2 linked regions of the Ovis aries genome follow. The protein of the gene in region 1 purifies or fractionates together with the protein of each later gene. This does not show direct contact. Links are inferred from orthologs where the notes say so. Each region holds a gene or a part of one and is shown in the gene's direction. Other genes may lie near its edges.

Evidence for each region.
Region 2: the proteins of E3 SUMO-protein ligase RanBP2 (region 1) and BICD2 purify together in Homo sapiens (affinity purification with western blotting; 3 studies listed by BioGRID and IntAct, with this or other methods). This does not show direct contact. The link is inferred for Ovis aries from reciprocal best matches to the Homo sapiens genes RANBP2 and BICD2.

Annotation. Positions count from the first base shown.
Region 1 is NC_056056.1:62,036,039-62,040,385, forward strand, and holds the start of E3 SUMO-protein ligase RanBP2, read left to right. Parts: upstream 1-1,358; 5' UTR 1,359-1,371; coding exon 1,372-1,677; intron 1,678-4,347. UniProt on the Homo sapiens protein: E3 SUMO-protein ligase which facilitates SUMO1 and SUMO2 conjugation by UBE2I. Involved in transport factor (Ran-GTP, karyopherin)-mediated protein import via the F-G repeat-containing domain which acts as a docking site for substrates.
Region 2 is NC_056055.1:28,622,625-28,626,430, forward strand, and holds part of BICD2 (protein bicaudal D homolog 2), read left to right. Parts: intron 1-913; coding exon 914-1,126; intron 1,127-3,806. UniProt on the Homo sapiens protein: Acts as an adapter protein linking the dynein motor complex to various cargos and converts dynein from a non-processive to a highly processive motor in the presence of dynactin.

The DNA of each region.
Region 1 (4,347 bases):
GATTCATGGGGTCACAAAGAGTCGGACATGACTGAGTGACTGAACTGAACTGAAGCGAGGGGAACTTACCCACCTGAAGCGAGGTCTTGGAGCAACATCCCCAGGTGTGTAGCAGGACATAGGGGCAGGCTCACTCCCTTGGGGAAAGGGATACTACCAATTAGAGAGGACTTGACCTCCTGTTAGAGAAGGCAATGGCACCCCACTCCAGTACTCTTGCCTGGAAAATCCCATGGATGGAGGAGCCTGGTGGGCCACAGTCCATGGGGTCGCTAAGAGTCGGACATGACAGAGCGACTTCACTTTCACGCATTTGATAAGGAAATGGCAACCCACTCCAGTGTTCTTGCCTGGAGAATCCCAGGGACGGGGGAGCCTGGTGAGCTGCTGTCTATGGGGTCGCACAGAGTCGGAAAGGAGTGAAGCGACTTAGCAGCTGCAGCAGACCTCCTGTTGACTCATTATTTACCAAGGAAACCAGCAGAGGGACTCGCTCCTCACCATCCCTTAGATTAGTTAACATTAGCTGGGGTCTGGACCAAGTACCCTCCCAGACCAGCCACCCTTATTCACATCCAACAAACCTGAAACAAAACACACCATGATGGTTTCCCTCTTTATAAAGAAAATAATTGCTCACTGTAGAAAATTTGGAAAAATGGAAAAATCAAAAAGGATAGCCTGTAAGAGGCCAGATTAGCTCTAAGTGTTGAATAAAACTATTTTAAAAGGATAAAAAGTATCCATAACCATAAATCCTGAACTCCCTGTATACACAGGATGTGATCTTTTCACTACTGAAAACATTTTCTACAACTTGTCTTAAAACTACGTCCGAAAAATTCAAATTCCAAAAGAGCGCTTAGATATAGCCGACTGGCGCCGCGGCGTGACGTCAGCACCGGGAACAGCGCGTCCGGCTCGAGAGCCTGAGGGAGAGATATTTCCGGACGAAGCTGCTACCGGCAGGTGTCATCTTTAAGCACTTTCAACCGCGTCACACACCCCACGAGCTTCGCGTTCCCGCGCTGCGCAAGCGCGTTCACCTCTGCGCGCCGGCGTCCGCGGGTCTGCGCGGCGCACAGGATTGACGCAGCTCTCACGCATGCACGCACCCACGCAGGCGCGTCGCCCTCTCTCCGGCGACGGCGCTGCGTCACGGACCTTCGGGCGGCGCGCTCCCGAGACGACGGCGGCCGCTGCGGCCTCGGCGCTGGCGTTCGTTATCCAGAGCCCAGTCGGCGGCAAGATGAGGCGCAGCAAGGCCGACGTGGAGCGATACATCGCTTCGGTGCAGGGCTCTGCCCCGTCACCCCGGGAGGTGAGCGGGCCGGGGCCATGGCCTCCGGGCGGGCCCACGGCGGCGGCGCCATGTCCCCCGCTGAGGCGCGGCCGGGCGGCCGGCGGCGGGCGGCGGGCGGGAGACGGGGAGGCGGCGGGCGGGCGTTGGCTCTCTCTGTTTCTCTTCTTCCTCTTTCGTTTCCTGCTCTTCGTTCCCGGCGCTCGGGCGTCCTGGGCTCCACGCCGAGGCGCAGCCGCCCCGCCGCCTCTCACTCACCGCTTTGGAAGCTGCTTTCCGGGCATTTTGTTTTTCAACGGAGTTCCGGGGGTTCTGAGTTTCCGTCCGGGCCTTGTTTTTGGAGTAGACTCTGTGGCTTTCCGGCGACGTCTCTCGGGGTACTCTGCCATCTCCGGCGTAGTTTGGGAGCTGGGTGCCCAGGGGATCCCGCGGACCTTGATGCCAGAGGGTGGGCGGAGGGGGCCCGGACCCGGATTCGCTGCCCAGGGCCGAGTCGCAGCTCCGCCAAGCACGCGCTGTGGGATTCGAGACAACTGCCGCTTATTTCATTAATAGGTTGGGAGTTAGGGTATCGATAGGAGTTTTTAGGATGGGCTATGATAAACATTTAGGGCAGTGCTTGGCACGTGGTAAGCTCTCAGTAGATGTGGCTGTTACAGGGACAGTCATTCCAGGTGTTCTGGGCCGGAGCCTATGCGAATAAAGATGTATGAGGAAATTAAAACCAGCGAACAGTCAGGATTGTAACGGCACCGTAATAGTGTCTTGGTTACCACATACTAGGCATATATTATTTTACTTTGTGCTCCCGACATCCGTATCCCTGGGGAATTCAAGATACTTTTCCGGGGGCACATGGTAACCCAGCAGGATTTTGGCAGTGGGTGTGATTTCTTTTTTTCAGGAGTATGGAGTGGGTTACAGCCTATGGCTCTGGAGGAGGGGAATAGGTGCCAACCTTCAGGTTGTAACTTCCAGCTGCTGGCATAGCTGTGAATACGAATGTACCTACCAGAGTCAAAAACAGGAGCTCATTAATCATTCTCTCTGTCCCTGAAACTGATGTGGCCGTTTTTTGTTTTTTGTTTTTTTCTTCTAAAGCAAGTTAAGCGCTTTTAAGAAATTTTTAGTGGGCACCCTGGCTCTCCAAAGCCTTAAAAACCACTGTCTAGACAGGAATTAGAATGTTCTTTGAACTAGGGAACTTTTCCATCAATAAAGAAGAGTGGGCACAAAACTTTAAGGATTGGTTATTATTGTCACCTCTTTTACATTTATAAAGAGTTATTATAATCAGATGTTTTTCTTCAGACAAGGAGAAATCATTGACTTTTGAACCTGGGGACTTCAGTGGGATATTGATTAGCAAGTGCAGTAGATAACTTTGGGTCCCAGATAAAGACCTAAAAGAGGTGCTTTAATCATAATAGAAATGTTTAAAATAATAATTCAAGGAGTTAACATCCTTTAACTAGCTATAGTTGGACTTTACCTGATATTTAGCAGCCTGATACCTGGATCTCAAGGACATAGACCAGGAAGAAAGGCTTCAGGTGGCAGGAGGAGAGGGTTAGGGGACAGCCAATGGGGGACCGATTCCACTTCCTGCAGGAGAAGCGCTTCTGCTATGATTGGAGTCACAGTTGTTGCATAAGCTAAAGGATTGCTAATGAACATCAGGAGAAAACTTTGATAGTCAGTGTCCTGGAGAGACACTGCAGGACAAGGTCCTAGGTGGACCTCTAGAGAAGCAGAGAGTAAAGAGAATCCCCAGATTCAGCTGTTTAAAATCTGGTGCTAAAATAGCAAAGTTTTTATTTGGTTTCAGTTGATTCATGGGGCTTCCCTTGTAACTTGGTAGAATCTGCCTGCAGTGCGGGAGACTGGGGTTTGATTCCTTTGTCGAGAGGATCCCCTGGAGAAGGAAATGGCAACCCACTCGGGTATTCTTGCCTGGAGAATCCCATGGACAGAGGAGCCTGGCAGGCTACAGTCTCTGGGCTCACAAGTGTTGGACACGACTGAAAGATTAAGCACACAGACTAAAATAGGACACTGAGGGAGGCCTCAGGTGCAGAGTTGATAAAGGCTTGCTTCTCAGGAGGTCCTGGGGTGGATCTCCAGGAATCGGGGATGGGTGTTCAGAGTAGGAAGGTCCCTTGCCCTCAGGATCCTGATTAACCTCAAGAAATGAACTGTGAAACTTTTAAATTAGACTTTGGTAAGAGTATATTAGGTCTTCCTGGCTTCCCAGGTAGGTCAGTGGTAAAGAATCCACCTGCCAATACAGGAGACTTGGGCTTGATCCCTGTGTTGGGAAGATCCCATGAAGAAGGAAATGACTACCCATTCCAGTATTTCCTGGGAAACCCCATGGACAGAGAAGCCTGGTGGGCTAGAGCCCATGGGGTCCAAAGAGTCGGACATAACTTAGCAACTGAAACAAAATAAACAAAAACTTCGGAACACATGACAATACTATAATCGTGGGTGTAAGTGAACATGGTGCTTTGGCCAGGTTGGGAGGGAGATGGTAGAGGGAGCAGAGACAGTGGCTGTGAAGAGTATAAAAAGATTAGGGTGTCTGTACTTGGTACCCAGTTGGGCAGACACTGGCAATGTTGGACTAAGTGCTGTGATGGGTCCATAGTCATATATCTTCCCAGGCTTCCACTCATCTCTTGACTTCTTTTGTTTTGCCATTTTCTAGTCCTTTACACCTGCTTTTGATTTTGTTAGGACTTTGCAAGTGGTGCAGTTGGTAAAGAATCTGCCTGCCAATGCAGGAGGTGCAGGTTCCATCCCTGAGTCTGGAAGATCCTCTGGAAGAGTAGATGGCAGCCCACTCCAGTATTACTGCCTGGAAAGTTCCATGGACAGAGGAACCTGGCGGGCTACGGTCCATGGGGTCTCAAAGAGTTGAACGAGACTGAGCACACACAACCAATACCTGCTTTTGCTTTTACTGAAAATATGATTTCCTTTTTTTTTTCCCCTGATGGCTTCTGTTTAGTTTTTCTTAGTTTTATATCTAGTTTTATATCTTA
Region 2 (3,806 bases), on another chromosome or scaffold:
CTGTGAGCCAGGAGCCCTGTAAAGAGACAGGGTCTCCCCCTCAGAGGTCTGCATGGGGTGGCCGGTGAGGAGGGGGTCCCTGGGGAGGATGCACACTAAAGGCCTATGTGGGTCGAGTCCTGGCTACTATGATGATGCAGGGTGGGAGGGAAAGAGAAGCAAAGGTGCTCGCTTGGGGCTGTGACACCTGGATGAACAGGACATGATGGTGTGTCCACGCTGGCCGGGACCTGGGGCATGGACTTGGGCAGGCCAGCACCAGTTCTAGTTGCACTTGCTCATGCGGGCTTCTCCTGGAGCCACTGCAAGATCCTTTGCTCTTAGAGCCCAAAGCCCTTGCTGGGTCTGGGGATGGTAGGGCCTCTCCCCTCGGGTATTTTCAGTTCTGTGCCCAGGTCCTGGGCAGGTGGGCAGGGACTCCCAGCTAGGACACACGTGGGGATCAGTTGGCACAAGCTTCACTTGTACCAGGCTTGGGCTCTCACCTTCTCAGGCCTCTTTTGGTACAGGTGTCTTCCAGGTGAGTGAATCAGGATCAATCAAGGGAAGGGCACTGCCCTGAACCTTGGTTTCCATATCTGGAAGAGAACCTCAGACCCACCCTAGTGCTGGGGGCTTCCCTGCCGGGACCCAGGACAGGGGTCTGTTTGCTGATGGGGGCCACACTGGCAGAGACAATGGCTGGGACCTCCTATCCTTGCCCTGCCCCAGTTCTTCCAGCCACTCCCACCAACCTACCCCACCAGGGCTCCTCATTAGCTCCATCCCCAGATTTCTGTAACTTCACAGCCCTCATGTTGCACTTAGGTATCTTGCTTTTCCTGTGGGAAAAGTCCCCTCCCCACTTTCCCCTGCATGTCTGGCCACAGGATTACCTCCAGGCTCTCTCTCAAGAGAATCTCATCCTCTACAGGCATTTGGACAGGCCCACACGAACCATAAGAAGGTGGCTGCAGATGGCGAGAGCCGAGAGGAGAGTCTGATCCAGGAGTCAGCTTCCAAGGAGCAGTACTATGTACGCAAGGTGCTAGAGCTACAGACAGAGCTGAAGCAACTGCGCAACGTGCTTGCCAACACGCAGTCAGAGAATGAGCGTCTGGCCTCAGTGGCTCAGGAGCTGAAGGAGGTAACCAGTGAAACTGGGGCAGTTTGCTTGACTCTAGGTGGGTGGTGGGAAAACAAATAAGTGCTTCCTTTGGCGGGGGGAGGTGGGGGGGGGGGGGGGGGGGGTCAGGGCCACCCACAGATTGTTTTACCCCAACTTCATGTGGTCCATGGTGGTCCAGAAAGGTCTGGGAATGGCAGGATCCCATCTCTGCACTTGGGGTGATGTGAATCCTGGGTTCCTCATGTGAGCAGTGTAATTATAGTGTCTACCTGCCAGCTTGGGACACTAAAGTCAGAGAGAGGCCACCACAAACAGCTTTGAGGATCAGTTTGGCCCCTAACAGGGGCCTGGCCATCAGAGGCCTGGGCAGGTGGAGGGGGAGGGCAGCCAGTACCCTCTGAGAGAGGTGGGAGGCAGGGCCAGTGTTCCCAAGATGGGGTGGGGCGGCAGCAGGGGAGCAGGCATGGCCAGAGGTCTACCTGAGCTGTAGTCCTGGCCGTGGCTTTAGGGGACCTTATTGTCAGAATTTCCAAGTTCTCATCAGGAAGGGCATTGTTAGCCTCTGTTCTCCATAGGGGTGGGGAGGGGTTGACCAGAACAGCAGATGGTTCTGAGTGGTGGTCAGCTCTGAGGTCGATATCTCAGATGGGATGGTATATGGCAAGGGTTCCACAGGGGTGGGAGGGACACTGGCAAGGTTTGGGACAGAGCCCAGGAACTGGCAGCAGTGGGAAGTGGTCATCCATCCTGGTTTGGGATCAGAGATCACCAAGACTTGTGGGATGGGGAGGAACTTGGCTTGGATCCAGGAGAAGTGCATGATCTCAAATCTTCACACAGGAGCTCTCTGGTTACGGTGGGGAGAAGGGACTGTCAGAGCTGTAGATTTGACCCCCTAAGGGGGAGGCTAGCCTCACGGCCAGCTAAGAGCCCTTTTCCAAAAGAGTCGGTGCAGATGCTCCCCCAGCCCAGACTCCTTCTGCAGCGTCCCTCTTCCTCAGAGGAGTGGCAGGGGACCTGCTGACTGCTGGCTTTGGCGCCAGGAAATGAGCTAAGCCAGTCGCACATGCTGCTGTTGAAGAACAGGTCTGGTGGGGGCAGGTTTCCTGCCGTTCCTGTTAGTGCTTCTGGAGGAAGCCTTCGCCTCCCCACCCCGACACATCCTCAGTACATTTTCTCCTGAGGCCCTGCCTGTGTGCCCCTGATCATGGTCCGGCAGGCACTTGGAGCCATGCCGGGTTCTTGGTTGGAGTGGAGGCTCTCCGTCACCGCCTACTCGGACTGGAGCCCTGGTCAGTGTCCCCACCATTGCTGGCTCTGCTGCCATCCCTCTTCAGTTATTCTTCTGCTCGTCCTGGTCCTGCTGCTTCTGCCTGAGCTGCGGTGCGGAGCTCCTCCGTGGCTGTGCCCTGGAGGCCCGCTCCTCCAGGAGGCCTGCTCCTCCAGGAGGCCTGTGCTGAGGCTGAGCAGCCTGTCTGAGAGCCCAGCACTGAGCGGTGCCCCTGAGGAGCACCAGCCTGTGCCTGTCTTGGTGTGATCCGGGCAAGCAGGCTTTGCACAGTCTCCACAGGAAATGCCTCTTCCGCACGTGGGCCTTTCCCTGCTGGTGCCTGGTCCTGCTGCTGTCCAGTTCAGTGACTGATGGGCCAGCTGTGCTGTGCCCTCTGACCCACCCCCGTCCTTCCACCCTGTGATGTCTGGCTTAGGGGTTCATTCCATGCCCAGCTCTCCAAGAGGAACTTGAGGCCTCCGTCATGTGACACGTATGGCAAACATGCTCAGCATGTGGGACAGTTCCAGCTACCCTGTGACTTGTCTTTTGGGTGACCCTGTGGGCATCCAGTTATTTCCTTCATCTCACAGGTTGGGAGATCAAGGTGAGGAAGGTTTGACTGTATACCCAGGGTCACTGGGTCCTGACCTTGGCACTGTGTGTGAATGGGCCCTGCCAGCTTCTGCCCTGGGACATGCCCTGAGGGCCCGTTTTGCACATAGAGAAGCAGAGAGAGACCCAAGGATCAGACCCAGCTGACTGATGACAGAGTGGTCTTTTGCACATTCCTCAGATTTGCCTTGGGAAGGGGTTGAGAGGGGTGGTGAAGGCTGCCTTGAGAAGCAGAACTGTGAGTTGAGGGGGTGGGCGTCATCTGCCCGGGGGTGACCCCCTTAGGTAAAATTACCGTCCCAGTGGACCCTGGCCTTGCTCTCCTGGTGGACTCTGTGTGTATCAGGTCCTTCACAGGCCTAAGAGTGAGTGACAGAGATGTGCCAGGAGAAATCGTATCTGTTGTCATCTCCTCTGTCCTGGCTAGGAGCCAGAAATACTTGTTTCTTGCTATGGTGGCATCTGGGCCCCTAGGAACGGCTGAAAGGAAGCCAGGTTTTTGGACACAAGCTGAAGTGGTGGGTGCTAGATCAGGAGCAGCAGCCCCAGGCACCAGGGGGGCTCTCCATTGTAGTGTGGACAGGCCTGTTCAGAAGGACCCCTGCGCTCCAGATCCAGGGGATTGAGTGGAGAAGGTCACGTTGGCAGTCCAGAGTCAAGAGAAAGGGCCCTGGGTGTGTAGAGAAAGCAGCAAAGGTAAGGGGTAGACTCAGGGGTGAGCCTCACAGCTGAGGAGGAGCTGGAGGGGGCGCCCAGATGAGTCCCGAGGGAATGGACTCCACAAGGAAGTGGAAATTCCTCCCAGGGAGCAGA